Linked DNA regions of Tamandua tetradactyla. The protein of the gene in region 2 interacts with the protein of the main gene of each other region in a biochemical or structural test. Links are inferred from orthologs where the notes say so. Each region holds a gene or a part of one and is shown on either strand. Other genes may lie near its edges.

The links.
Region 1: the proteins of STX1A (region 2) and SLC6A1 form a complex in vitro, tested with the Homo sapiens proteins (2 studies listed by BioGRID). The link is inferred for Tamandua tetradactyla from reciprocal best matches to the Homo sapiens genes STX1A and SLC6A1.
Region 3: the proteins of STX1A (region 2) and SNAP23 form a complex in vitro, tested with the Homo sapiens proteins (3 studies listed by BioGRID). The link is inferred for Tamandua tetradactyla from reciprocal best matches to the Homo sapiens genes STX1A and SNAP23.
Region 4: the proteins of STX1A (region 2) and STXBP5 form a complex in vitro, tested with the Homo sapiens proteins (2 studies listed by BioGRID). The link is inferred for Tamandua tetradactyla from reciprocal best matches to the Homo sapiens genes STX1A and STXBP5.

The regions. Positions count from the first base shown.
Region 1 is NC_135335.1:38,041,962-38,049,942, forward strand, and holds the start of SLC6A1 (sodium- and chloride-dependent GABA transporter 1), read right to left. Parts: upstream 3,004-7,981; coding exon 2,769-3,003; intron 2,341-2,768; coding exon 2,209-2,340; intron 1,165-2,208; coding exon 1,064-1,164; intron 274-1,063; coding exon 164-273; intron 1-163. UniProt on the Homo sapiens protein: Mediates transport of gamma-aminobutyric acid (GABA) together with sodium and chloride and is responsible for the reuptake of GABA from the synapse. The translocation of GABA, however, may also occur in the reverse direction leading to the release of GABA.
Region 2 is NC_135349.1:11,403,618-11,411,025, forward strand, and holds the start of STX1A (syntaxin-1A), read right to left. Parts: upstream 3,011-7,408; 5' UTR 2,968-3,010; coding exon 2,938-2,967; intron 1-2,937. UniProt on the Homo sapiens protein: Plays an essential role in hormone and neurotransmitter calcium-dependent exocytosis and endocytosis.
Region 3 is NC_135340.1:56,366,709-56,373,581, reverse strand, and holds the start of SNAP23 (synaptosomal-associated protein 23), read right to left. Parts: upstream 3,014-6,873; 5' UTR 2,915-3,013; intron 1-2,914. UniProt on the Homo sapiens protein: Essential component of the high affinity receptor for the general membrane fusion machinery and an important regulator of transport vesicle docking and fusion.
Region 4 is NC_135351.1:45,675,710-45,683,218, reverse strand, and holds the start of STXBP5 (syntaxin-binding protein 5), read right to left. Parts: upstream 3,002-7,509; 5' UTR 2,916-3,001; coding exon 2,769-2,915; intron 1,041-2,768; coding exon 943-1,040; intron 1-942. UniProt on the Homo sapiens protein: Plays a regulatory role in calcium-dependent exocytosis and neurotransmitter release. Inhibits membrane fusion between transport vesicles and the plasma membrane.

The DNA.
Region 1 (7,981 bases), on a different chromosome or scaffold from region 2:
TGGGCTCCTTCAGGCCTGGAGGTCGGAAAGGACCTCCCCAGCCCTTGAGGACCCCTTAACCTCCCCGCACCTCATCCAGCCCTTCTGAGGGTGCCTCTGTCTCCTGCCAGACACCAGCCAACCCGCCCCCACCCTCCAGCCCATGGACAGGCCTCAAACTCACTCCCAGAACTCCACCACGGCGCTCGTCATGTTGGTGGTGTTGACGACGCTGTAGTTGGAGAAGCAGCGGTCTGTGTTCCAGGGGTTGTCACACTGCTTCCACGGAAGAGTCTGCAACGGCACGGTGAATCGGGGATCATTCCAGGGACCATCACACAGACAAACCCACTGAGCCCGGGGTTTGGCAACATGATCCCGTGTACCCCATGTACCCTCAGTTCCCCCATGCAACTATTATCTAATCTCCCCTTCCCAACGGCTCTGGGAGGCAGGAGGCTTGGGACACCAGTGTTAGAGGTCAGAGAAGGGAAGTAACCTGCCCATGAACAGAACCACTAACCAACTGAGTGTCAGAGCTGACACTAGAACCCCGACCTCCCTGCACCGAGAACTACTCTTCCAACCTGCCCTGACATCTCGGGCATCCATCCTGGGCCCCTCCCCAGATAAGGACGCTGTGCGATCCTTTGCACAACGGTGATGCACTTTGCACATCATTACTCCTTAGTCCTCACAACAGCCTTAATAGGTGGCTTTCATTTTTATCCCCATTTTATAAATGAGGGCACAGAGGCTCAGAGAGGGGAAGTCTCTTTCTCAAGGACACACAGCTGTCAAGCTGGGGATTCCAACTGAGGCAGACCCGGTCCACATAAAATGGGGCCAAAGTCCCCATTCAGGAGGGGTGTCATGAGGATGAGATGGAAACCCAAATAAAGTGCTGCCTCCATGCCTGGCCTGAGGTAGGTGCTCAGTCCAAGGTGGCTGTGATTGTCATGGGAAGACAAGGGTGGGTGAGGACAAACTGTGTTGTCCCGGGGGAAGGGCTCGGCTCAGTGTGGAGGAGGGCTCTGGGTCTGGCTCCTTCCTGGGGGTGGGGGGTGCCTAAGGGGCTGCTCACCATGGTGAAGGAATTGTACAGGTAGTAGATGGCCCAGGAGATGATGACGATGTAGTAGATGTTCAGCCAGAAGGACAGCACAGCTGCAGCGAGACCCACACCTGGGCGGAGGAAGCAACACCCTCATATTATTACCATAATAAAAATAATAACCACCTGTGCTGGTCTGGATCTGTGGTGGACCCCAGAAAAGCCATGTCCTTTAATCCTCATTCAATACTGCTGGGTGGGAACTTTTTGGCTGTTTCCATGGAGATGTGTCTTCACCCATTCAAGGTGGGGTTGCTTACGGGAGTCCCTTAAGAGGGAACCCTTTGGGAAAAAGCTTTAGAACCAACAGAATGGACAGAGCCCCAGGGAAGCCATTGCAAAGAAAGCTAGCAGACGTCGCCATGTGCGGTTGAGAGAGAAACCCTGAACCTCATCAGCCTTCTTGAACCAAGGTATCTTTCTCTGGATGCCTTAGAATGAACATTTCTATGGGCTTGCTCTCATCTGGACATTTTCACAGCCTCAGAACTGTAAACGTGCAACTTAATAAATTCCCCTTTTTAAAAGCCGTTCTATTTCTGGTATGTATATCACATTCCGGCAGCTCACAAACTAGAACACTGCCCTATCATGTAGAGCTTTTACCATTTCTTACCATGTCTACCATCTCAGTGGACTCCAGAGCTGGGCGTTATTGGGGCACTGGGTCTGACAACTAGGAGTGACTGGCCTAAGGCCGTATTCATCCTGCAAGCGATGGAGGCAGGCCTTGCACCCGGGGCGCCGCCAAGGCTGGATGACGGGTGGGGGGGTCTGGGAGCTGCCCGGCGGCGGCATGAGGCTCAAGCACAGGTTGGAAGCTTGAGTCTTCAGGCAGTCGCATGGTCAGGCAGGGTTCTGGGCACCGAACAGGGAAGCAGAGGAAGTCAAGCCCATTCCTTGCTGGAGAAATGAGCTAACAGGACAGGGTAGGCTGATGGGGCGGGGGTGAGGGTGTCTCTGGCTCCTGGCCCTTGCCATGGCCCCACTCTGCTTGGAGATGTTGCAACAGGCTCCCTCTCTCCAGAGGGGTCAAAGGTGTCAGAGGCCCCGGCGTCACCGTGGATCTGCGGGCAGAAGAGCCAGTGTCCCCAATGTCCCCTCTGCAGACTTACCCTTGAACATGGGGGCCAGCTTCCACACTCCCAGACCCCCAATGGACGTGTACTGGCCCAGGGAGCATTCCAGCAGGAAGAGCGGGACCCCCGCAAAGATGAGCGTCAGGAAGTAGGGGATCAGGAAGGCCCCTGGGGAGGGGAGAGGAGAGAGATGCTCGTGGCCCTGAGGCTTTGGAGACCCCCCACCCCCACCCCCTGCCAGAGGGAGCCCCGTGCCAGGGCGTTCTGGGGGCCCCATCTGGGATTCCCTTGGACCCTGCCTCAACTGCAAAACTGAGACCCGGCTAGTCCTTTGCTCCAAACATGCCCCCCTTCCCCCCTTGCAAAGTGAAAAGCTGAACGTTCTAGAATCATTAGCAGAGGACCAGCACCCTTTGGAAATCCTCCAGCCGAAGGGCAAGAAGCAAGAAATGGGGCGCAGGCGGCCCCTTTGGAGTCTTCCCCCCACGCCCGCCACCCAAGGGCCCCCCAGCAAAAGCCTGGGTGGGACCCTCCTCTCCGGGGCCGAGACCAGCTGTGGGGGTGCGGAGGGGAGGGGGGCAGAGGCCGGCACCCACCGCCGCCGTTTTTCCCGCAGAGGTAGGGGAAGCGCCAGACGTTGCCCAGGCCTATGGCGTAGCCCACGCAGGACATGAGGAAGTCGAAGCGGCCCTTCCACGTGTCGCGGTCCGGGAGCTCCGCCTTCTTCTGCACCTTCACCACCAGCGTTTTGGGCTTGTCATTGGGCACGGGCGCCTCGCTGACCTCGGTGGAGATCTGCCCGTCGGCCACCTTGCCGCCGTCGCTCGCCATGTCTCGGGCTTTGGCCCCGGGGGTCCTGGCGGGAGGACGGGAAACGTCGGCCCCGGTCCAGGTGGACAGCAGTTTCGCGGTTCAGGGTGGCCCTAGGAGGACAGCGGGGTGAAGCTGCAGGCAGGGGAGAGGGGGGCGGGACCCTGGAATCATCCTGGGTTTGTCCGGAAATCACAAAAACAAAATAATACCCCCACGCACACACACACACATACACACACACACACACACACACACACACAACTATGGGTTCCAGAGGGTTCTCGCACACGCCCCCCTACCCCCACCCCCACCCTCGGCTCCCGGAGGAAGGAGGGTGCCGTCTCTTCCCAGACGCAGCTGGCGCGCGCGCTCTGTTGGTAATTGCCCGCCCACCTCCTGCCCTCCGTGATGGGTCCCACTCAGAAGAGAGACCTGAGGCCATCAAACTTCCAAACAGAAATATGAAGAGTTCCTCATCTTTGCCTCCGAAGCTGCAAATGGGAGGTTTGCATATCTGGAGGCCTTAACAGAAGGGTTTACCCGGGGGCTGAACAGGGAGGGGTCCCGGCTGCAGGCGGTTGGGTGGGAACGATACAGGAGCGCTCACTCTGACCCGTGCTGTGTGACTTTGAATAAAATCGTAATCCCTCTGTGCCCCAACGTCCTCTCTCTCTTTTTTTCATCCTCTCTTTTAAAACGAGGGTGATAACTAGTACCTCCCACACTGGGTTGGTGTGAGCAGTAAGTGCCTGGCAAATGGTAAGTTCTTGCTGCTTTTCTCATGAGCAGTTTCCAGGCCTGGTTGTTGATTCCAGACCATTTGGGAAGTCCTTTGAATATTTCTGGGTCTCATACCAGATGCATGGATTTGAGTCCTGACTGTATTTTAACCAACCCCACAGGAAATTCTTCTGATTCTTACCCCAGCAGCCCAGCCCTGGCCCTTGGTTGAGGAAGGACTGCTGGCTTGCATGCCCGTTCCGACCCTCTGCAGCCCGGAGATGTTTGATCTGCACTCTGCCTCCTTTTTATCTCTTTGGCCCCAGAGGCAGTGTGGGGTAGAGGGCAGTGTATGCCACCGGGGTCAGACCGTGTGGGGTTCAAATATCCCATCTGGCCTTTACCGACAGAGTGACACCAAATAACCACTCTTGATGGCGCCGAGCCTCAGTTTCCCCATCTGTAAAATGGGGACAATCCTCTCCGGTTTGCAGAACTGGGACAAAAATCGGATTTAAAGTCTGTTAAGAGTGCTTATCACCTGGCTGGTTTAGAGAGAGAACTCCGTAAATGACTGTCATTACTGCTGCGGTTGACAATACCTGAGACTCTCTGTGGCACGTCGGCTCCAACAAGCCTGCTTCTGCGGTCACTGGATGAGAACCTGCCAAGCAAAGATGAGGGGACGTTGAGCTGGCAGGCGGGAGCTGGAGGGACCCCGGTGGGGTGCAGGAAGCCTGCCTGCATTGGTGCTGTTCGCGTGCCCCATGCACCGTCCCCAGCCGGGCAACTGCGGTAAGGGTGGGTCCTCACAGCAGGGTGCTGGCCCATGGGGTGCTGCAGGCATGCGGAAGCAGGGCCTGCTGCCCTGGGCACAGTGTGGGGATGGGCCTGAGGGAAACTGAGGTAGCTGCTCCATAATTTTATCAGAAGGAGACAAGAAATCAGCAGAGGGGCTGCACTTCCTCAGGCTCCCCCAGGAGCTGACTCACACAACCCAAATCTTCCTCCAACCTCTATCCAAACTCTCAGAAATGTTGCAAAAGACCACGTGAGAACACGGGAGAGGGCACTTTGCTCTGCTTTGTTGGGCCAGAAAAGCGGGATTCAAAAGAGTTTATTCAATACGATCCCATTTTTTTTTTTTTTTTGCAAAAGAGAAAAGAAAAATCTGTTCATAAGAAGATGCGTCGTAAAATAATGTGTCAAAAAAGACACATCATAAAAATACCCTAAGATGTTAGCAGGGATTCAATAATGAAGGCCTTTTTTGTTTTTGTTTTTTTGTGCTTGTATGGATTCCCATAATGTTCAAAGCTTTCCAAGTTCATGAAATAACCCAAACTGAACTTATAGAATCCTGGAGCAAACTGGGACTTAGAAAGCATCAGGCCATGTATGCTCAGAGGCAGTGTGCGACGGGGGCCCTGGCCCCTTCTCCAAATGACCTCCACCCATTGTTCTGCCCTCTGAGGGGTCCCCAGCTGGCAGGTGCATTGGCCCTGGGGACTGCAGGTAGATTCCCCCTTAGCAAGCACCATCAACTCTTCCTAGAGCTCAGGGAGCACCACACCACTTTTGGGCAATGGGCACTTCACCCTGGCTTCCGGTTCTCCAGCCCGACCTGCTTGGTTTGCTCTGCACAGGCCAAAGGCTTGCCTGGGATGCGCATCTAGAAACTGGCCTGGGACGGACTCAGTCAGGTGACCCTCTCCCATCCTCAGGAAATGCAGGGAGCGGAAGGCAGCAGTCCTCTGGTCTACCAGAGAGTCTCGGGACACGCGGGGGACAGCACAGCCTCAGGAAAGGGGAAGGCCAAAGTGGACCCGTGTCCTTAATTTCCCTGGGGTCTACCCCGGTAGGTGCCAGCTGCCAGATCTGTTCAGAGGCACCCAACCACCTTGGCCAGAGGTCTCTGACCCAGATTGGCCAGTCAAAGCTCCTTCCCTGGGAATCTGGCATGGGATTCCGAAAGAGGGTCGATCTTCCCAAGCGCTTTGGGGAAATCTGAGGTGCCACGTTGGGGTTGGAACAGCAGACAGAGCTGGTCTGCTAAGGAAGAAAACTATCAGAGACCAAAAGACAGAGAGAGAGAGCCTTGAAGACATTCTAATTTGCGGTTCCAGGATTTGTTAAGACCGGCTTCATTTCCGCTAGGAGATGTGGGATCCATTAAGGACGCGATGCCATGTGTGCATGTGACAGATGCTCCTTTCAGGACTCAGGGCTGAGAAAGGCCCTTCAACTTCCAAGGTGACCTCAGCTCCCGCTCCCGCTTCCCGACTCTCAGTGGGTCCCTTCGCATTTCTGGTCCTCTTCTGTAAAATGGGGGTGGGGGGCAGTAATAATACCCCCCTCGGGGGGTGGTTATGGAGCATTTAAAACAACATCTGGTGCACGTTTGGAGCTTAGGGACCCTCAGCCAAGGCGCATGGGTGGTTCAGTGGTAGAATGCTCGCCTGCCATGCAGGAGACCCGGGTTTGAATCCTGGCCCGTGCACCCTCCCAACGCCCCCAAAAGAAAGAACCAGTGTCATCTCAGCCAGTCATCACTGTCGTTGTCACCAATCTCATTCTGGCATTCTTGGCTTCCCAGAAGTCCATAATGATAACAATAAATAATAATAATAACAAAATAACTGGCATTTATTGAAGGCTTATTGTTCAGGGCCCTTGGTATCTTTCAGCCTTTCCAAAAACCCCAGTGGAAAGCAATCTTTCAACTGTCCTAGAGAACACCAGTTAATAAAAATGTCATGTTTCTTTGATTTGGGGTCTATTTGTACCATTTCAGGGTAATCTAGCCATTCGCCTTGGGCCAGTTCAAAGCTGGGATTGCCACATTTGCGTGGTTGGTTTATTAAAAAAAAATTATTGTATAATAAATAAAGCTGGGTAAGAAAAAAACGTTCAAGGCATCTAGGACATGGAGAGAAAATGGTGAAAGAGACCCAGGACTCCCAAACAAAGTGGTTTGAGGAAGCGCGTCTTAATCCCAGGGGGAAATAGCCATTTTAGAATTCTAACTCCTGACCCCACTGGGTGACCCGTGGCTCCCCGCAGTCACGTGAAACAGCAGGCATGGGCACGGGCACGTGTGAAGTCGTGACTAGGTGGCCCGGTTGTAATTTTAGAAAGTTCACTATCTCTGAAGCAGTAACAACTCTTCTGCAAGTTGTTGCTTCCCCCTCTGGGAGCGTCGGCGCGCGCTGCGGCACTGGGGGAGCTTCTCAGCACCCTGGGACCGCTCCGGGGCAGTGAGGGAGGCAGCCCGTCCCTCCACCGCCTGGGCGGGGCTGGTCTTACGTCCTCTCCCTGCAGGTGGAGTGGGTGGAAGGAAGACCTTTCACCACCTCGTGATTTGGGGCATTTTTCCAAGGCCTTTTCCTCCAGAATCTTCTGGTTCTTCCTCATCAGGTGACAACATTTTGCAGACAAAGAATCTGGTCACACATTCCTCAGTAACACTGGTTAATACCTCATCATGAACTGAATTCCACCCAAAGCAGCATTTGAAAGGGCACTTTTAATGGAGACCGTAAGTAACAAGTTTTCTATCTTCACCCAACTACTCATCCAGTCCTTCGTTCATTTCACACATATTTTCTAAGCATGTCCTATGTATTGAAATGATGACAAGACGGGTTTTTTTTTCAAGAAATTCCGTTATAAAGTAGCATTTTTTGTCTTCTGAGCCACACTCTAATCTCCAGAATTGGAATCAGTGAATCAACAGAGGAAAGATTCAACTTAGTAAATACTCCCTGATGGCCTACTATGTGCATGGAGCTGGACTGGATGCTCAGGATGCAAGGATTAATAAGACACTGCCCTGTCCTTGACAAAGTCACAGCCAAAAGGAGAACTATCTCTGCCTATAGCTAATCATAACACCCTGTGATAAGTGCTGTAAGAGGTGCAGCAAGAAGACGCTATAGGCCTGGAAGGAATGAGTTATTTCAGCCACAGAAGGTAACCCAAGTGAGGGGATATTTGAGCTGGGTTTTGAAGGTTGAATAGGTGTTCATCAGACTCAAAAAGAGGGAAAAGACATTCCCAAATGCAGGGAAACGCATGAACAAAAGTAAAGAGGTTTGAAATAAGAAGGCCAGCTTGTGAAGGGCCTTGAATGCCAGGTTAAAGAATTTCAGGACCAGTTGCAAGGATGGGGCAGGGGTGACAATGTGATCAGATTTGAACTGTGGAAGAAGACTCACTCAGGAGGACTCTGGGAAGGATGGAGTTAAGGAAAGAGACTCCATCTTCTCCAGCCCAG
Region 2 (7,408 bases):
TCTCACTTGGTTGAGCATTCCAGCCTCTCTGCCTTTTCTCATGCTGGGCACTTCTTTGGATCACCCTCCCTCCACCATCCCTAATCCTCTTCTGGGAAGGCTACCAGGTTGAGCTTCCTACCTTCCTACGTTCTTCCTCTGAGTCCCTTCAACAGGTCCCACAGGCCCTACATTCCCAGCATTTAGAAAACACTGTCTCAGGGAGGAGTGGGTCAGTTCCAGAAGTGCCCAGAATGGCAACCCGAGAGGGCTCTGAGATGGGGGAGGAGGCAGCTGCATGAAACCCTGCCTTAAGAAGACACCCTGTCTTTCCCTAGCTTTGTGGCCTGGACCCATTTCTGTCCTCAGTTTCCTACCTGCTCCCTGAAGGTAGGAAACCTTCTACCTCTCTTGCTGACCCCTGAGAGCCTGTCTATATTGCTGATGCAACCCCAGGCTGGCCTGCTGGGGCCCTACCAATCCCCTGCACGCTCCATCTGCAGAACGGGAAGCAGCAGCACCAGGAGCACCAGGAGTGGTGGGGGCTGGAGGAGGCTGGAGGGCTGGGCCTGGCCTGCAGAGCTCTGAGGAAACATGCCAGCTCCTTCCCCAAGTGTGACTTTTATAAATAAGCTCCCTTCGCCTTCCTTCCAAATGTGGTGGCGATGGGTGGGAGAGAAAGAGAAAGAAGAAGGAGGTGGTGGTGGCGGGGGGGCAGCCACTGTCCTGATCACTACCTCTATCTAGCACAGCCTGCTTCAGCCTTTTGAGTCTCAGGGATTCCGTGCTTGACATGCTGACTCCTGGGGTTCAAGGTCTCCCCCAAATTCAGAGTCAGAGACAGGAGACTCGTGACCACTGGCTCTCGCCCTGAGATGTGGTGTTCTCGGTTTTCCTGTCTCCACTTCATGGATGGGAACCTGAGCCCCAGAAGGAAAGAGACTTGCTGGAATGGAGCTGCCTCCACCCCTACCTACCCCACCCCCACCCCCACTGACCATTCTCCCGCACCCAGCATGGGCTCCTCCCAGCTGACCCTCTAGACTGCTAGAAAACCTCCATGGGTAGTGCCACCCAACAGGGAGTATGGGCTCCGAATGCTCCATGTAGGGGTGGCCAGAGAGGAACCCTAAGAGGATTCCGAGAAGCCAGGCCTTGTGGTCTGAGGGAGCCCCGGGGCTAGGATGTGCGCTTGTGTGAGTGTGATGGGTGCTGGTGGTAAAGGGTGGATCCAGAGACACACACCAGAGCCAGAAGACCTGGGTTCAAGCCCCTCCCAACCCGGGCTCTTTGGGGGCTCCCTCAGTCCAGTTCAAGCCGAAGTCTGACCTTCTTCAGGGACTTAGCAAAGCCCCTTTCTACCACCCATCTTCATGTACCAGGCAAGCCCATTTTCCTTTAGGCATCCATTTCCCCTCGGTAGAGTCAGAGGCCCTGGTCAGGTGTGAGGGGCTGACTGGGTTCCTCTCGCCACTGGCTTCCCGTCCATGCTCTCATCTGACCCCCCAGGCGCCCCAACAGCAGCCCATCCATCACCCAGCCACTCCCCACTGAGCCAGCATTCTTTCCGACTCCGCCCAGCACAGGAAACTTGAGGGCAACCACAAGTGCCGGCAGGGGAAGTGTTAAGAGACCATCTTCTTCCTTCTGAACCTCACGGGGTTTCCCCAGACGCCCCAGGGGCTGGGCAGGGAGCCAGGAATAACCAGGTTGGAGAGGGATGGGGTCCAGCTCCCGGCAGCACCGGAAACATGACAGTATAATTGGGAGACCCAGACGTACACTCAGGAGTCTCTGGGCTGAGGGGTCAAGCCCTGGGGTCAAAAGCCCAAGGGACACTTGAAACTTTCCACATGAGAGGACCTAGGACTCTGGCTTCAAGTTAGGGAGCCAGAGAGGGTCCTGGAGAGCCACTGAGCTAGGGTGCCCCCAGAGACTGTGGGCGGGGCCTGCCAGCGGGGTGGTCAGCCAAGACTGGGGTGAGACCCGCCCTGGTCAGAGCCCTGATTTCACTGCTCCCCACCACGCGCGCCCCTCAGCACACAGGTGGGCTGCATTTCCTTCCCGGTCACCGCCCCCCAGCCTGGGCAACACTAAGGGCGTGTGGGGGCGGGGGCGGGGCTTGGGGGAGCGTCAACGTCCTGGGAAATGGCAGTGGCCAGGGGAAGGGCAATAGTGAAGAGGAGTCGGGGGAAGAGGATGGTGATGAGGGTCTTTGACGCCGAACCGTCGTGCAACCTCCTATCCCCCCTAAACCCCGCCCCGGGAGCCACACCCCAGGGGCCTCCGACACAGGTGGAAAAATAGATGCGGGTCGGAATCAGACCAGCGAACCTCGGAAGGACCTGGAAACGCCGGCCCGGGCGGCCCGGAAGCCAGCAAGGTGGCCCCGGGGCGGGCAGGGGACGGCGAGCGCGCGGGGAGCCACAGGTGATGGGAGCCACAGGTGACAGCTCCCGTCACACGGGCCCGCCCCCACCCGACGGCCGCGTCCCCGCAGCGCGCCCCGCGCCGGGGCTCTGGGCAGGCGGCCGCCCCCGGCCCGTTCCCCCCGCGGCGCCGCCGTCTGTCCGTGCCACAGGGGACAGGGGAGGGACAGAGACGAGGGACCGCGGGGCGATGAAGACGGGACCGGTTCCGCCGGCTCGCGTCCCGCCACCCAAACGCGATAATCGCCCTCTGACCCACCCCAACAAAAGCGCACAAGGGGTCGCCGAAAAGTTTATCCTGACCCCGCCCCGGACCTCCAGTTCACAGGCCAACGGGGCCGAGCTCACGCGAGCCCGCCCGCCCAGGGGGGCCAAGGGGCGGACCCCAGGCAGGGGTCGGGGTCCCCGGCTCCGCCCCGCTCCCTGCCGCCCGCCGGGGGCCGCAGGGGCTGCCGCGCTGGGGCCGGGCGGGGGGTACCCGGAGCGCTGGGCGCCGGCGGCGAGCGGCCGCGCGCGGGGCCGGACTCACCGTGCGGAGCTCCTGGGTTCGGTCCTTCATGCTCCCGGGAGTGGCGGCCGCGGCGCCGGCTGCAGCCTTGTGAGCCCCGCATGCGCGGCGGCCGCCCCGCGGCTGCGCAGCGCCAGCCCCAGCCCCGCCCCGGCCCCCCGGGACCCCGGCCCAGCCCCCAGCCCGGCCCCGCCCAGCCCCGGCCCGGCGCCCGGCGGCCCCGGATTCGCGCCCTCGCCGGGGAGGCGGGCTCCCCGCCCCACCTCCGACCGGGGTCGAAGCCCTGGGACCTGGTGCCCTGCGTGATCCCTGCCTGGGGTCAGACCCCAGAGCCCCGGCTTTCTCCTCTGTCCCTCAGCACCCCTCTCTCTTGACCCTGAATCACATCCCCCCCGGGATCTGCTGGAGGCTGATACCCCCAGACCTGGCCTTGATTTTATTGCCTCCGGACGTCCAGCACCTCCCGCTCTGTTCTCCCCCAAACCATCCGCTGAACCCTCACCTTCCCACATTTCCCGCATCTTCTTACCCAGGCTCACTCTCTGTCCCTCTCTTTCCCCAGGATTTCTCAGTTCAGGGATCTAATGCTGGGTGACCAGTCCTTTTCCTTTGATTTCCACTCTCAGCAGGCTGCAGCAAGCCCTCTAGCTTTGGGGAAGAGACACCTGAAATCTCTCCCTTTCGCTGCATCCTCGACCCTGAGCCCCAGCCCCAGGCCTGAGGTCCCATTTCCTATCTGGAAGCTAAACTGTCCCTAGCCTGGGGCCCAGATCCGTCTGGCACTAACAGAGGGATCCTGATGGTTTGTGCAAGGGGATGCATGCTGTAGGGCTAGTAAGTAGCAGGAGCTCCCTTTCAGGTCCCTGCCAGCATGTTGTTGAGACAACAGCCACACAGCTCCCCCACCTCCCACCAGCTGTTCCCTCTTTGCCCTGGACCAGACCTTTTTTACCTTAAGCCAAGGCTTCCTCCTTCCCTTCCCCAGGGCTGCCAAGGTGTTGCTCTGGAGCCAGGCCAGCCCCCTGCTGTCCAGCGTGCCTGGGCTTGGCACTCCTCCCAGACTGTGGGCACAGGTTAGCTGGCTGGCAGGCAGCCTGGAGGATACAGTTCCAGCCCTCCCTCCTTTCCTGGAAAACCTGGCCTGAGACTGGCTGAGATGTGGCCTGGCTTGGGAGGTGGCCACACCCATTCCAGCTGTTCAGAACTCACCATAAAGTGCCCCACGGAGCAGGCACTGCCATGCCCTCAGTTGATAGTGAGAAGCCAGGCCCCTCCTTGTAGGAGGGCCCCTCCAGGGGTATGGGAGCACATGGCAGGGAAGATGCCACCTGATCCCTGATCCAGGGGTGATTCAGTGGGGTGGGTCATGGATGCACCCCCAGAGCCCAGTGCCTGGACCTATAGAGAAAGGGAAGGAAGGGGAGACACAGCTGCCCTCAAAGTTCCCATGTCATGCAGAGCACCAGCCATTTAGATGTGTATTAAATAGTAGGATGCATAACAAATGTGTGCCCTGCTGGTCTGATATGCCTTCATTCAATTATTTATTCATTCATCAAATGTTACCTGGGTAACGATGCTCTTGGACTGCTGTTCTGTTTTCGAGTTGCCTCCAGTGCAGCTGAAGAGACAGACCTGGTTTCAGTTTAGTGTGATGAGTGCTGGGTGCAGCCAGGGCGGCTTCCCAAAGGGTGACACATTTGAGCTGAGTGTTGAGGGAGGAAGGTATAGGCCTCCAGGACAGAGGAAAAAGATGTCCATGGACACTAGGGGGCAGCACTGAGCCCATTTGGAGATCCTCAGGAGCATGCTGGGGCTGCCCTGCAAGCCAAGGCAGGAGGCGAGGCCAGCAAGGGAGGCCTTGAAAGTTGAACGTTATGGTGCAGACAAGGGGGAGGCAATGGAGGGTCGGAAGTTTGTAAAGTACTTATTGAGCCTCTGCTATGTGCCGACATGGCAGCAAACGAGAAAGACAAAAGTCCTTTACACAGTAATAGATAAGAGGTGATAAGCTAATCAAGACAATATATGATGGTGATAATATATGCTCTGGAGAAGATAAAGTAGGAAAGAAGTGATGAGGGTGCCAGGTGTGTGTTGTTTAAATTTGTTTAAAATTGTTTAAAACAATTGTTAAATCAGACAGTCAGAGAGGGCATTGCTGAGAAGGCGGCATTTGAGTGGTAAAGTGAAGGCGAAGGCACGAGCCATGGAGGCATATGGGGCAGAAGGGGTGCAAAGGTATTCTGGGTAGAGGATGTGAACAAAGACAGAGACAGGGGCAGGGATTACTCCCAGTGGGAACCAAGTGGTCTCCGTAACATCCATCACCCCCTATCCTCACTTCTTTGAACTGGACAAGCAATGGTTCCTCAGTCTGGACAAGTGCTCTGCAAAGCCCTGCCCTTCTCCAGTCATCAGGGCATCTGTAAGCCCCCAATATAGGTGTTCTGCCCGCCCCTAACCCCTCCTACCCCTCCGGCTTCCTTCGGGTAGTGAGGTGTCTCATTGCCCTGGGGAGAAGATCCTGCGCTTCCCATGTCTGTCCTTTGCCATCTGGCCCCGCCTCACCTCTTGGAGACTGCCTTCCTTCCTTCCTTCCCACCCTGTGACCGGGTCTAATCCCCACCTGCAGTTCTTTCCCCAGCATCGCACCCTCCTCTGGGGCCTTTGCACATGCCCTGCCCTCCTCCTTCCCCCCCCACCCCCGGGCCTGGAGCACTCTCCTTCTGGGTCCCTCCCCCCACCCCATGGTCCTCCAGGAAATTGAGCCTGAGCACGTGTGGTCCCACAATGACCGAGGCTTATCCTGGGCATGGCATTATTGCATGGATATAGTCTCTGTAGGTGTCTGTCCCCTTATTAGACAGGAACAATTAAAGGCAGGGACCGGGTTGATTTTCCTGTTGATTCCCCATGGCTGGCCCAGAAAGCGTGTTTGTGGAGAATGAATACACGCGCGGGTGCCTGGATGAGCCGTGTGTCTATAAAGGAGCACTGTGGGGGTGGGGGAAGCCTGGGCTTTGAGGAGCTCTCAGAGCCTCTGGGTGTACTTTGGGGTTTCCCTCCAAAAGACTGTAAGGGCGGGCAGAGGGCAGGTTGGGATCTTTGCGAACTGGAGTCCTGATGTTGGGAACTGCTGCCACCTGCTGGGCAAGGCCAGCAGTGCCTTGCTAGTGCTACTGTGGCTGGGCACCTGTGTACCCAGGTCGGGCTGCTAGGGCGTCTGGGCACCTGTGTACCCAGGTTGGGCAGGTCGGGCAGCTGGGCACCTGTGTACCCGGGTCAGGCTGCTCAGGTGGCTGGGCACCTGTGTACCCGGGTCAGGTACACAGTGACAGTGAGAACTCCTTGGCCTGCTGGGAGAAACCCATTGAAGGCGACAAGACAGCATGACAAGGGTAATGATGGGAGTGACGGGGGAGAACAGAGGCTGCAGAGAAAGAGGGAAGACGAGGAAGTTTTGGTATGATTCAGGAATGAACTGCCCCTGGGGCCATAACCCAGGCCCCTAGGCTGAAGGGTGTCAGGGTGTGCATATGGGCAACTGGATTGCTGAGGGACCCCCATTGTTGTCTTCTGGGATCTGGAAGGCTTATTTCCTTGTTCTCGGGTCCTGGGAAGTCTGGCCCTGGCCCCACGATTGCACAAAGCACAGGCCACCGTGTGAGGTGCCTTAATTAACTCTTACAGAGACCCTATCAGGGAGGTCTTCCATGATTTCCACTTCACAGATGAAGACACAGAGGCTTGGGGAGGTAAACACGGACAGGGTCGTAGCATCGTGTGTCAGTTTGTAAGCTGCCCAGTCCTCCAAATCCCAGATATTTTGTTTTTACCAGGAAGCCCAGAGGCCTGCCCAGTTAGCAGCTCTCCCTCCCCCTGGCACCTTCCCCCACCCCAACCCACCCTACCAGTAACCTGGAACCAATTCCCAGCTCAACCCAGAGGCCTGGGCTCAGCTCTACTGGGGGAGTGGAAGAGGAGGATGCAGGCAGTGGGTATTTCGGGCTTAAGCCCTATTACTTGGTGTGTGACCTTATGGCTGGGGCTTTGGGACGGAATCACCATATGGCTAAATTATCACGTTATTTCCTCCTTTTCCCAATGAGAAGATTAAAAGAAAACAAAAGGCCAAACATTTGAATTTAAATTTTTAGGGATGAAGACGAAAAAATAAACTCTCTACTTATAATATTTATTTAGTTTCATGTACATAAAATCACATATTTGTTGAACTAATTTAATTCAGAAACTGTTTTTCCACTCACGTTTTTGCAAAAGTTGATTCAAACCCTTCACTTGCATTTCTGCCTCTCACCGTCTGATTGTCACGTGTCACTGACATCCCTAGCGCCTTAGTTCCCTCATGCAGTGTTCGCAAATATGTCATCGTCACTATTAATTTGAAATACAGCACCTTTTGAATCTATAAATGATGCTGTCACTGAATATACTATTCCAAGACCCAAGAATCCATTAGGGTAGTTGT
Region 3 (6,873 bases), on a different chromosome or scaffold from region 2:
GAGGACCACGTTGTATAATGTTGCAATGAAATATTTTAGGACAGAAAAAAATGAGCTACGGCTACATGCATCAAGAATCTTAGCAACATAATACTAAATAAAAAATCAAGTCCCAGAAGGCTACTTAAACTATGGTACCTTGCATAAAGTTTGAAAAACCCACAAAACTAAACAATATTTTGTTGAACTATAAACTTACACAGTTACGAAAAATTTTTTTAAAAAGGAATATTTTCCAGAATGACTGCACCATTCTATATTCCCATCACAAAAACATTCGAAATCTAGTTTTTCCACATACTCATCAGCACTTGATACTGTCACTATTTTCATGTTAGCTGTTCAAATAAATGGGTCTTAATTTGAAAAAAAAAAGGCAAATTGATTCTTGATAATTGTTTAACTGTATTGCTTTAATGGTGTGACCGTGTGATTGTGAAATTTGTGACTGACACTCCCCTTTATTCAGTATATAGGCAGAAAATAAAGACAAAAAATAAATAATGGGGGGGGTGAAAGGTATGGGCCGCTGTGTTTTCTTCTTTATTTTTATTTTTATTTTTTTTGGAGTAATGAAAATGTTCTAAAATTGATTGTGGTGATGAACGCACAACTATATGATGGTACTGTATGCCATTGATTGTATACTTTGGATGATTATATGGTATGTGAATATAGCAATAAAATTGCATTGAAAAAAAATAGGCAATGGCCAGATCTTGGAGTGACTTGCATTTTTTGACTAGGAAGTCTGCGCTTTATACTATGTCCATGGAGAGCTACTGAAAGGTGGATTTTAAGCTGGGTAGATGATTATTTTAAGCCACTTCCTCCAGGAATCCTTTCAAACACCTTTAAGAATAAGGAACAATCATTGAAATCAAGCAAAGAGTGTTTAAAGAAGAGAGACAAGTCTATCCTTAAGCAATCAAGAAAGATGAAGCCTGAGAAATATCTTTTGAATTTAGTTAAAATAGCAGTAGGTTGGAGAGGGGGATGCTGAAATGAGGGCAGGTTGTAGAATGCTTTTGGAAGGTTTGGCCTTGATGGGGAGGAGAGAGAAGGGATGATAGTTAAAAGATGAGGATCAAAGTGTTTTTGTTTCTATTTTGCATTTTTGTTAGAATTAAGACAGAAGAAACTTGAGCGTAATGGGGAAGATCCAACTGAGAAAAAAAGATTGCTTAAACAAGAAAGAGAAGAGATAGTCAATAATGGTAAAAAACTTGAGCAGATAAGAGAGACAATCTAAAGCAGTGGCAGGAGGAATAGACTTGGAAGACAGATAATACCCCCTCAATTATAACAAGAGGAACTGTGTGGCAGTTTGTAAATTTGTACATTTAATAAACAGAAAGTTGAAGTTTTCATCTGATGACCTCTATTTCCTCTGTGAAGTAGGAGATGAGGTCATCTGCTGAAAGTAAAGGAGATGGTGCTGGCAGTATTAAGGAAATTGAAGAGATTTGAAGTATTTGTTGCAGAAATTGAGAAAGTTGATCAGAGAAAAGTAGTAGGCCTGGTAAGCAGTGAAGGCCTAGTTAAAGCAACTTAAAATGAACTCACCAGTCTGTACTGGGGTGTGGCTTTCTCAAGCAGTCACTACTTCTTAAGGGCAGAGGTGAAGAAAATTGTGTGGTCAAGTTCATTTCAGGTTGTGATGGGCATTTGTATAATGTGATGGTTCTCAACAGGGGACAATTTTGCCAGCAGGAGATATTTGGCAATGCCTGGTGACATTTTTGGTTGTTCTCATGGGGGTGGGGGGTGGGGGGGTGGCATCTAGTGATCAGGAATGCTGCTGAACCACCCATAATAAACAGGATAGGCCCCACAATGATTTATCTGTCCAAAATAACAATAGTGCTAAAGTTGAGAAACCGTGGTAGAATAAACACAGACATGCAAGGGAGCTCAAGTTATTGCCAAAAGATGACAGATCATGGGATTCAAGTCAGAAGTCAGGAAAAGGCTGATGGATTGGGAAATAAAAGTGTGGAATCAATGAATAGGAGTTTTTGATGAGGTCAAAGAAAGTCACAGAGTGTGGTTGGCCAAAGAAACTGCAAGACAGAAGGTGTTTGGACAAAGAAAGTGATAGTTACATTAGGGAATTTAGAGGTAAAGAAATTGCAGGTGATAAGAAGGTCCAGGGTATTGCTATGGATGTGGGTAGCTGAAATAGCATAGAGTAGTAGATTAGGTTGAGTTTAAGGAGTTAAGAGATTTTATTGTTGGATTACATGTCCACACGGAGGTGGAAGTTATCCAGAATGATGGCAAGGTAGAGATAAATGTGTATTCTTTCACTGAAATGAATTAGTGGCAGAAAAAAAAAACAGCCTGAGAATCATCCTTACATAGATTTCTTCTCTCCTTCAAATCTGCCACCCACCCTCACCCCCACCCACTTCCCCGGGGTGGGTGGGGCATGAAAAAGATTTTCAGGCAAAAAATGTTGAATTTTAAAATTAGGAAACTCTGGAGACTTGACTGGTCTACAATTTAATGTTATGCCAGATCTTAAAACTCTTAAGATTTTAGTGAATTTGATTTCCATTTCAGTCATAATCTATACATTATGGTAACCCAAGCAGCAAAAACCTAATCACCTTGAGGTAGGGACGGAACACTAGCTTCCCTTTCTGTAAGGAACATTTTTACTTTTGTCTAGGGAAATGGTTCTCATCTGGAGGTGATTTGCCCCCAGGAAACATGTGGCAACTTCTAGAGACCTATCTGATTGTCATAACTTGGAGAAGTGGGGAGCTGCTACTAGCATCGAGTAGCCAGGGATGCTGCTAAACATCCTAATACACCATACACTCCCTCATGACAAACACTTATCTGGTCAAAAAAATGTCAATAGTGCCAAGGTTGAGAAACCCTGATGTAGGGTTACCTTGGTGCTTACCAATATCTGACCTTAATCTTCTATAGGTTTATCCTTGGACTATAGCCCTGAGATTATTGGGTTAAGCTGTTTTTTCATTGCTTGTCTTTAAAGGAGAGTAGAATGAGCAGCACACCCCAACTTTCAAGTGTTTTAAGGACTTGTGATGTCACAAATACAGAATTGGAAGTTTTCTAAACTTCTAGAAGCAACTTTGCCTTCACATATAGATGAAGGAGGTAGCTGCTTATTTTGATTTGAGGCACTAAAGGTCTTGTTAAAAAGAGATGTTATTTCAATAATGTAAGAGGAGGGACACATTACGCCATCACCAGCCTTAACGTAACTTGGTTTATTTGACTAATATTTATCACTAAAATAGAGTCCTGAGGGAATGGGTAGGGGCTAAGATTTTTAATAAATAAAATTACTTGTTATGAATAATAATATAGTTGTTGGTTTGCTTGATGCATGAATAGATACTTGACCTATGTTACCTCTTTTTTTTTTTTTTGCGCAGGCAAGCACCAGGAATTGAACCCAGGTCTCGGGCATGGCAGGCAAGAACTCTGCCTGCTGAGCCACCTGGTCCTCCCTGTTACCTCTTTTAATCCTAGCAACACCATCAACCTAATTTTAACTCTGAGGGAATGGAGGGTCCAAAGAAACTTGGAATTTGTCCAAAGTTGCAAATTACTATAGCTAGGTTAAGATTTGAGCTGAGGTCTGTCTAAAGTTCTGAGGCAACTTCTGTAACTGAGAAATTGAGATTTAAGAGATGATTTTAATTACTGAATTATAGCTGTATAGATGTTCCCTTTTGCTTTCTGGTGTATTAGAATGGTCAGAGGGAAATACCTGAAATCTTTGAATTGTAATCCAACTGCCTGAATCTCTGATAATGATTATATAGCCTTTCTCTTCTGCACCTGTGATTGTAAAAACCTTGTAACAGGGCGGGCCATGGTGGCACAGCAGGCAGACTTATTGCCTGCCATGCCAGAGACCGGGGTTTGATTCTGGTGCCTGCCCATGCAAAAAGAAAAAAAAAAAAAAAAGAGAGAGAGAGAGAGAAACCTTGTGACTAAACTTCACTTGTACCATTTATCCAGTTTTTCAACTTTAAAGTTTATGATCACTAAAGACAGCCCCTAATATTTATTAATGAAGGGTCCTGGGTCAGCCCAAAACTAGCCCGCCCCAAGTCCAGTTATCTTGATAACCTAAACTGGATCTAACCAAAATGGGCCCACCTGACATGCAGAGTAGCTTAGATTTTAAGCTATAAAGTTCCCCTATACCTCATTATACTAAAAATCATGCACATCATCATAATAAAGCCACCATTTTCTTACATAAATTCTGTGGCTAAGTATGTAATCCGCCTGCACATGCTCAATAATCTGATCACTTCTAATCACATCAGCTGGGACCACTGTGCTCATTATCCTAAAACCTGCCCATCTTTTGCTACAATAAAACTATCAAAATTATTGCAGTTTGGGAAGACAGCTTTTGGAGCCGTAGGCCATCTGATCTGCTGTGTCTAGTTATACACTTTTTCTCTCTTTGAAACCCGGGTGTCTCAGGAATGGGTCATTTGAGCGTGTGGGGCACAAGGATCCATGGCCTGTGTTTGGTAACACTTTCGTTAAGCTTTATTAAATATTACAAGGAATTAGAAAGTTAGCTGAAACAGTTGTCATTGTCAAAAGGGAACCGTGGAGTATTTAAGAAGAGAGTAGGAGCAAGGAGGCCTGAAAATACAACAGAGAGTGAAAAAGGGACCAAGGAGGCTAGTCACAGTCGGATCCAGTGCAGCTCCTGCAAACCCAACCATCTTTGGTCTTCCATTCTTTCAGAATAAACCCTCTACCCCTGTGTGCATTGTTCACTTCTGGGTTCTAATAAAGTTAGATTATTGAGAATGGCGGACGGCAAAGAGAGAGAGAGAAAAAAAAAAGGAGCGCGACGGCTGTGTTGTGCGCCTGCGCGCTGGCGGCGGCGGTGCCCGGGGGGGAGCCGGTCGGGAGTGGGCCGCCGGACCCAAAACAGAAGCTGGGGGTCTGGGGCGTGAGGGAGCTCCCTCCCCGGGGTCTCGGCGGTGCGATGGAGTAAGAGAGGTCGGCCGTGAGTGTGAGTATGAAGGTACCGAACCGCGTTGATGCGAATCAGAGCTCGAGGGTCCTACTGTTCCCCTTAGCAGGGCTGTGGGGTTGCAGGACGCGGCGATGTCTCTGCTGGTGCATGTTGCGGCGCGGGGATAACTAGTCCCATCTCCCAGCACCAGCTCGGATTATAGCTGGCGGTGCTTCTGGTTTAGGGGAACGGATTCTCGTGGGGGCGTTTAGGTTCTGCTCCCAGCCCTAGCTGGAAAGGTGGCTCCAGAGCTTTGACCTTTGGGGAAGGCCGTTGACCTCCTTCGGTTTCCAGTGGGGCAGGGAGCTCATAGACCCTTGTGCTTAAAGGCCTGTGGGTCACAGGCCAGGGACATCTTTCGACCTCTTGTGACTGACAACCTCCTTTTTCCTCCTTTCGTCTTCTCTCCAATGTGTCTTACTATTAGTTACTAATTAAGGGATGCTTACTATGTGTCAGTTTAATATTTCGTATGAATTTCAGTAACATAATTATAGTTAAGGAAATGCTTTTTACCTTCCTCCTCCTTCTACTCACTTTAGTCATTTTTAGAATAAAAATATATCCTGTTGTGGAGTCAGTTTTCCATGGCCCTTATAAATTTGGGACTGCATTACCAGTTAAGGAAAGTTTTTTTTTAAACTTATTACATCATTCACCATGATAATAATAATGATGAATTATTCAAACCACAGATAACTTTGAGCACTTACTAAGAGCCTAGTACTGTTCTAAGCCCCATGGGAAATCTTAAAATTTGTTTTAGACCTTTCACTTTGGTTGTGAATGAAACAGTGGAAGGCAGTATTCAGATTTATTTAACACCTACTCCATATGTGCCAGATACACTCAAGTATGTCGCAAAAAATTAATGAGATCTTGTAATGGAAGGTGGCTTTTTGCAGCACATTTTAGATGAAGTCTCTGAGAGTCTGATAAGTTTCTCAGGCTCACCTACCTAGAGTTAAGTGGTAACTTTCAGGCTGTATGATAACAAAGCTATCATTTTGCTGTTACACAAAGTTAGATACTCTAAGCGGTTCTGCTGAGAAGCAAGCTGCATTACAGTTAAGAGTTAGCTAATGGGATTTAAAAATGATAGGAGGCTTCAGTTAAAGATACTTGCTAGATGTTTTTTTTCCCCATGATTTACCATTTAATAAATATTCAGTTGTAGTAATTTTAGAGAAACTTAATCATGAACAGAAGACAATTTGACTTTTAAATTAGTGCCCTTGACTAAACTACTTTAATAATGCAAATAAATTTGTGGCATTACTTTTACTTTCAATTCTATACTTGCTATGAATTCTTGGATTATTTTAAGACATAATTCACATAAAGTTTTTCCAAAACACTTTTGAATCAATATGCAATTTTGCTAAAATAGTGTGTGTCCTCTTTTATAGTCCTCCAACTAATACCCATTGATTGTTACAATCTAATTTTAGAGAAAATTACATGTAAAATGTAGTTAATATGGAGGGTTTGGAACAAAAGTATAAGGAGAAAACTCAAGGATATGCAATAGGTTTTACCATTATTCCCAGAATTTTATTTATTCTCCCATACTCTGACTCTCTTCCAAATAGACAGATAAATAACAATTTAAAAGAGGAGTAAATTGTAAGCATCCTTTTGTCAGAGTTTTCCTAGATTTGCTAGTTTCATTTTACTGAAATATGAATTTTGGAAAATGTTTTTGGAAACACATGGCCTTGTGTAAAGAACCAAAGATTTTTAACACATTGATTATGTGTGCGTTTTGAAGCATCTCAGGGTTTTTAAAGCAAAGTAGAAACAAACATTCTACATTAGATGAAGTAAGGATGTGTCTAACT
Region 4 (7,509 bases), on a different chromosome or scaffold from region 2:
ATGAATAATACTTAGGAAGCAGACATATTACTTCAGGGTGGATGAACAAATCATTTGTTTTTAAAATATTACTGCATTTAAGTTTAAAAATAAGGACATTTAGGTTAATTATGGTTAAACACTGTAATAAAAGCAAAGGCTTAATTTTTATTTCAAGCTAAACAGTTTAAAAGAGAAAGTGAGAAATATTTTCCAACGTACAAACTAAAAAACATAATCTTGAAAAATGAATAGGTATTTGAAAAAAGCTTACAACAAAACTACTAGAGTCCATGGATGCCTTGGAAAAATAATTCTCTCGACACTAATAAAATACAGGTAACATAATCGTTTTTACATATGGGTAATAAATGTAGACTGTAAAAGGGAAAATACATCAAGAGACTGTATTTATCCATATGCACTTGAAAACAGAATGCTCTAAAACTTCTAGAAATGTCAACTTTTCTTTTTGCATGGGCAGGCACCAGGAAACGAACCCGGGTCTCCAGCATGGCAGTCAAGAACTCTGCCACTGCACCACCATTGCCCACCCTAGAAATGTCAACTTTTCATAAGAATTTATATGAAGTTTATTTGCTACGTTTGTCTGCTAATGATTTTTCTTAGATGGTAAGTCAGAAACAACCGAATTCAAATTCAACCTCGAATTCACTAGAATAATAAACGGGTCATAAGTTTAACATCTCCCACGTGCAACATTTCAAAAAAGCAACTAAAACACATGCCACGCTGATGTCTTTTAACCTCATCCTTCGTGTACCTCTTCACAGACCCGCAGAACCTTCTAGCACCTCACAAAGGAAGTAGCTAACTATGGCAGAATGCAAGACCGCTGCTGAGAGGTGGGAGAGTATAACTACGGGAAAGGCCAATGCCATGGATTCCAGGCAGCACGGGCCTCGTCAGCTCACCAGCCCTGCCGAAGCCCACAAAGGATACAGCCGAAGAGCACCGAGCTGAGTCCCCACGGCCAAAATCTTCTGCACGGGGTCGAAGGCCAGGGCTGAGGGCCGGTAGGGAAATCCATGGCGGACAGTCTAGGGTGGCAGGTGACACCGCAGCCCCAAGCAGTGAAGAAAGAGAGAAACAGAAAAGCAATGAGGTATTAGAATTAGAACCAACTATAATTGATACGCACCAGATGCTGTTAAAAAAAAACAACACAAAAACCCTGAAATCTACAACATTAACAAACAAAAGCTATTTGACCAAATTTCTATACCAGTTTTATACACTTTAACTTCTGCATTTCCATAACACTGTATTCCACAGAAAACCATGTCTCACTAGTATTCTATATTACATCTGAGAACAAATTACTGAGGTTCACAGTGACCAAAAAATTCTGTAAATTCATTTTAAACTGTGATTCATGCTTTGTCTCAAACGTGATCATCATTACTTCATTTGGATACTAAATGCAAATACTAAGGAAAAGCTGTCATATAATTACTTTCTTGCAGAATTCTAGAAAGCAATCTCTACTCCAAGATTTTGCAATTTTCACATTTTCCTATTAAGTCCACATTTCTGGAGATTGAGGCAAAAAGTTTAAGGAGACACTTTTAAGAAACTCAGGGTACAATGCATGGGGAAGACAAATATTAATAGACGAACGTGAATTTTTCCTCGAGCAGCTGGCAAGTTAATTCGCTGCATCATTCTTTCTGAACTACAGAATGCAAAGGCAATTACCGTGCCATTAACAGGCAAAAATCACAGTTACTAACTTCTTAATCGAACATAATGCAATTTCCTATTTTCAGCCACTCAGTGCATATTTTGGGAGAAAAGCCACGATCTAACATCCAGTTGGACAGGTTTGGCTTTTGGATTAGCGATGTCCATCAGACAGCGTTTCCAAAGGAAACCAAAGCCAGCGGGTTAAGCCAAAAACGCTTGCACAGAAGGTTTCCAGGCCACGCTGGCGGGGTCAGGGCCCTGTACCAAGGACCCTAACCCTGCGGCCCCGCCAGAAGCCCCCTTCCCAGGCCTGAGCCCCGCTCCCGCGCCCTGCGCCCGTTGCCCCACTCCCTGCCCCCGGCGCCCCGCTCCCTGAACCCGCTCCGCCGCCCCACTCCCGCGCCCGGCGCCCCAGTCCACCACCCGGCGCCCCCCTCCCTGCACCCACCGCCCCACTCCCAGGCCCGGAGCCTCACTGCCGCGCCCACCGCCCCACTCCCGTGCCCATCGCCCCACTCCCGCGCCCATCGCCCCGCTCCCTGCACCCACCGCCCCGATCCCTGCACCTACCGCCCCGCTCCCGCGCCCACCGCCCCACTCCCAGGCCCGGAGCCTCACTCCCGCGCCCACCGCCCCACTCCCAGGCCCGGAGCCTCACTCCCGCGCCCATCGCCCCGCTCCCGCGCCCACCGCCCCGCTCCCTGCACCTACCGCCCCGCTCCCGCGCCCACCGCCCCACTCCCGCGCCCATCGCCCCGCTCCCTGCACCCACCGCCCCGCTCCCGCGCCCACAGCCCCACTCCCGCGCCCGGAGCCTCACTCCCGCGCCCACCGCCCCACTCCCGCACCCGGCAACCCGCTCCCTGCACCCACCGCCCCGCTCCCTGCACCTACCGCCCCGCTCCCGCGCCCACCGCCCCACTCCCAGGCCCGGAGCCTCACCACCCGCGCGCGCTACTCCCCGTGCCCCGCACCCTGCCGCCCGCCCAGCGCGACGCCCTGCCGGGTGCTCCCCCACCCGCGCCCGCTGCCCCGCGCCCCCCTCCCCGGCGCTCTGTCACCGCGCGCGGGCCCCGGCTCACCTTGCAGAGCTGGAAGTGCTCCGCCTGCAGCGTCTCTGCGATCTCCGGCTCGCGGCTGCCGGGTGGCGCAGGCGGCGGCGGCTGCGCGGCCGAGGACGATCCGGCGGTCAGGCCGTCCAGCACTTTCCTGATGTTGAATTTCCTCATGGTCTCGGCGAAGCCCCCTCCCGAGGGTTCCAGCGGCCCCAGGGCGCGCGCGGGATCCGCACAGGAAACGCTGCGACGGCGGCCCCGCGCCCGGCTGCCCGCTCACCTGGCCGCGGGCGGGCCCCGCGCCGCCTCCGCCGCCCGCGCGCCCATGGCCCGGGCCCGCCGCTCCCGCTCCGGCTCCCTGTCCGGCCTCCACTCTCAGTCGCGGCCGCTCGGCCCCACGCAAGCGCCCGGGACCCCGGGCCAGGCCGCCCCGCCGCTGACTGGACCGCCGCGGCTCCCTGAAGACCAGCACCCGGCGCCAACGCCTGCCGAGCCGCGACCCGCCCACGGCGCCAGGGGGCGGCAGCGGGGCCTCAGCAGAGCAAGGCGGCCGGTGTGCGCAGGCGCGGCGCGACCCCCGCAGGCCTCCCGGCGTGCGCAGGCGCAGCTTGGTCGCACCCGCTGAGCTTGCAGTCGGGCGTGCGCAAGCGCACCGCGAGGACCCGGCGGCGCGAACTTGGACGTGCGCGTGCGCGCTGCTCGTCTCCGAGCGTGGCGCCGACAACCAGGTGTGCGCGTGCGCACCGCGGCTACCTCTCCTCCTCGCGTTGGCGATCCCTGACGTCCCTCCGTCTGCGAAAATCCGCCACGGCGGCTCCGCTCGCCCGCCCGGGTTGCGTGGCCCGACTGTGCCGTGGCTTCTCCTGCAGCTGGGAGGGTACAGAGTGCTGGGCAGCGAGCAGCGCATCGCCCTGACGTCAGCCTGCCCCTTGGGCAGGTGCGCTCCCACCTGGGCAGGTGCGCCTACGGTTCGGCGCCCGGGGTCTGCGGGCCACGCGTCGTGCGAGGGTCTGGGAAGGGCGTTCAGGCGACGGCCACGCCAGTGCCACGAGGATGACAGAGGAAGTCTCTGGGGAAGGAGATAAGCCCAGAAAAAACCTGAGGCTGCCTCTAGGGGTAAAATTAAAGTCGGCCACACAGGTGCTGCTGGATTCGCTCCCCGAGGTCACCCCTAAGGGCGGGGTCTGCCGGCCAGGGACCCCCCACCCCAACCCGTCCCCACGCGGGGTGGGCGGGGATGGATGCTCCACCGGAGACCCTAGCCCATCCCCTCGCCGCGTGGGCAGGGACCTGGTGGGTGGGCACTGGAGGTTTGTGGTAGGCGCGCCTGGGATGGGCTCACCCACCGAGGGACGCAGGTAGTCCCCCACACAGGAAGGAGACGGCAGTGGGGTGAGGTTGGTTCTGCCCCCCGCCGCCCGGTTTCCTGGGACTCTGAGAGACCACGCCGGGCCCGAGGTCAGGAAGGCAGATTGATGGGGTGCCCCGATGTGAGGAGGTGGCTGAGGGGAGAGGCTGTGGCCAGGAAGGGCTGGGGATCAGGAAGCAGAAGATGGATTCTCATTCGGAGATGTGGCGGGGACAAGGAAGGCCCAAAGCACCAGCCTCCCTTCTGGTACCTTGGTGGTGGCCCTGACCCCAGCAGTAGGCCAGAAACCGCCACATCACCCTGTGGGCTGGGGGAAGCTCCCCACTTCGTGGGTTCTCCATGCAGAGACCATGTCCTCTACTTGGAATCTATGGCCTCGTTTTGTAGTTTAATGTTTACTGAACTAAACTATTCGCTTTGTGCAGCAAACAATAGAAGTTTTGTTTTTTTTTTTTTTTTTAAGAAACAGGGCTTTCCTCAACTATTTCTAAGTGGCTCTGAACTTTTTGCTGAATAATTCAGTTCACACATTTTTATTGCGTGAAAGGCATTGTACTGGGTACTAAAGACACAGAAATGCCATCCCGGCTTTCTGCAAGCTTGTGGCAGTCTAAGGGGATGACTCTCCTGCTTACATGCTCGTTGCACTGCAGTGAGTTCAGTGGTGGGTAGTGCAGGAGGGGGCTGAGGGCACCACTCCCCACTGCCTGGGAAGCCTGGAGGGACTCCAGGGAATGCTGCTGCTGCTCGGCCATTCTGGGGTCCAGGAGAGATGGACTTGGCCAGGTGAAGAGGAGAGGAGGACTGTCGGAATTCACCTGGAGAGTTTTTCATACAAATGCCCACATAGGGGAAATGGCCAAAGAGAGCACTTTCCCACAGGATTTTTTCATCTGGTTTGAAATAAGTTGTTGGATATTTTGTTATCATTGTATTATAAGGCTCTTTGGAAAAGGCACTTTTGAAAATGACTTAGAAAAAAATGCATTGAATTTGAGGACCCATTATTTTACCACTGTGTGCCCCTTTCTTTTCGATCTCACTGGATTTCTACATAGGTCTTTGTTAGCCTGAGCTGGGACAGAGTGGGTAGCAAGTCCACAAGAGCTTACCTGCACTGGCAGACATGCTCCCCGTTCGTCTTAAATCCTACTTGTCCTCTAGGAACCAGAGTTTGGGAATGACAGAATAGATTTGCCTGATGAGAGGGATGTGATACAGAAACAACAAAAGTCTGAAGTCAAAAAAAGGGGCACTGGCTCCTTGAAGGCTCTGTCCACTGAAGGACCCTGACTGCAGAATGAAAAACTGACATTTTTCGGTATCCATAGAGTACTAAGGAATGTGCTGCAAATGGTAGATCTTTTTTCCCTCCCAGTTTATCATCACAGAACTAGAAGAAGGTAGTATATCCTCATTTTACTAATGAAGAATTTGGCCAACAGACAAAGCATGGAACTTGCCCAGTTTACACCTATTAACGGGGGGTGGGGCGGGTGGGGGGTCTGGATTGTCCTGCAAATCTGGCAGGTGACAAAGCCTAGGGCTCTTGGCCTCTCAGCAAGGTTTTATTTATTTTTATTTTTTGCTCTGTTTTCTTTTACTTAATGTCTTCATTCCAAGCAATTAATTAGCGTTCTTTGTTTGGGTTCATGGCATTCACCCAAATGTCATTTTTCCTCACTTACTTAGTATAGCTAGAGATGGTGTGGTACAGTAAGCCACTAACAAGTTGTAGATAGTTGTGCTGCGTTTAGCCGAGTCACGGTTGGCTCTAAATAATAGTTAGTGAACGGAAAATAAAAACGTAAATCAGAAAGAGAAAACAGAATACACACACACAAAAAGGGACCCCACTAAATATTTAGTGATGGAAGACCGAAGACCGGGATTCGTTTACGTTCCTGAATCTGGCAATCCTCAGTCTCTGGTTTAAAGGCTTAAGGAAGGCTCCGGCATTGGTTTCATAGGCCAGCTGGGGCCGACGGAAAGGAATAAAATAGAAACAAACATTTTAATGAGAAATTGTGTTATGGGCTAAAACTTTCTTGAAAGTTGACCAAATATACCTCATATGCTCTCCTAGCATTATTTTTATCCACTTAATTTTATTTTTTAGTCGCAAAGGGTATGCATGGCAATAATTGATTCCCTATACAATTTAACTGAATATCCAGCTTCGGTCACTTGCAAGTTGCAGTAGAAATGTCCATCACTCCGTCTGCCTAGTTGGCGCCCCCTTTGCGGAAGGGGCCCCCACCCCTGCCTGACACCTGTGTTTGAATCAGGGACCCTGTTTCTGGCCCACTCTGGGTCAGCGCGGTCTAAAAAAAGGCAAGCCCAAGGGGTCCTCTTTGGGGCCATTGGGATTGAATCACAGAGATGCGAATTAGGGGGAGAGAGGTGGGGTCCGCAAAGGTGGGGCTGGAGTGGGCGTTTGCTGGGTGCTTCCAAGGCCAGGAGTGCCGGTGTGAGGGGCGAGCCGGGGCCCTCACGCCCACAGTGCAGGCGCAACTCCTGTGCAGCCTGCCCCACTGTGTCTCTGTGGGGACTCTCTGGACGGCTCTGATTCTGGCCATCGGACCATCCCTGCAGCAGGACTTGGTGAGAAGAGGTGGAGGCATGCTGGCGGTCTCCCCTCGCCTTGCCCTGCAGTGGCCCAGCCCCCGTGGGTGCTTGGGCCAGCTGCGGACGGGGGCGCACTTTAGTGGGGGCCGGGAGGGTTGGCTGCTGCCGAGTGGGGTGTCCGAGGAGGAGAAGAAGCGAGGTTGGGCCTGAGCGCCCCTGGGTGCCCGCGGGGTGTACTCCTGGCCGTGGGCGCGGCGGCTCCGCAATCAGCCGGTTATGAGGGTGCTCAGGGAGGAGGGGGCCCAGGGGCGCGACCCCCAGCGCGGCCGCGCGAGCTTCCCTGGCTCCCGGCCTACCCGGTGCGGGAAGTCCGTGCGGAGCTGCCACGGCGCGGGTGGGTGCAGTTCCTGCGGAGGGCCACCAGCCTCTGCGCTGTTGAGGGAAGGAATAGCGTCCCCAGTGTCTTTAATTTCAGCGTTTTATTTTACGATTTAAATATCATTACAAACATTTTGAGAATGTTGCTGAAGTTTTACCCGTGGGTTAGAGTTTCTTTTCAAGTAACTCCTTAAAATTTGATTTGTGGACTGAGGAGCTAGCAGCAAAGTTTGAACTTTGTGCAGTTAATTACTCAGTTAGTAAACTGTGCTCCCTGAACCAGGCTTAGGGCACTGGACTTATTTAACTAAATTGTAGTGATTGAAATTTGCATAGCAGAACCACACAAAGAGAGGGTGGCTGCATTAAAATAATTTCAGAATTTACTTTCTTAAATAGCTAGGATTACATGCTTATTTTTAAAAATGATTTTAGAGCTATGTCCAGAAAAGC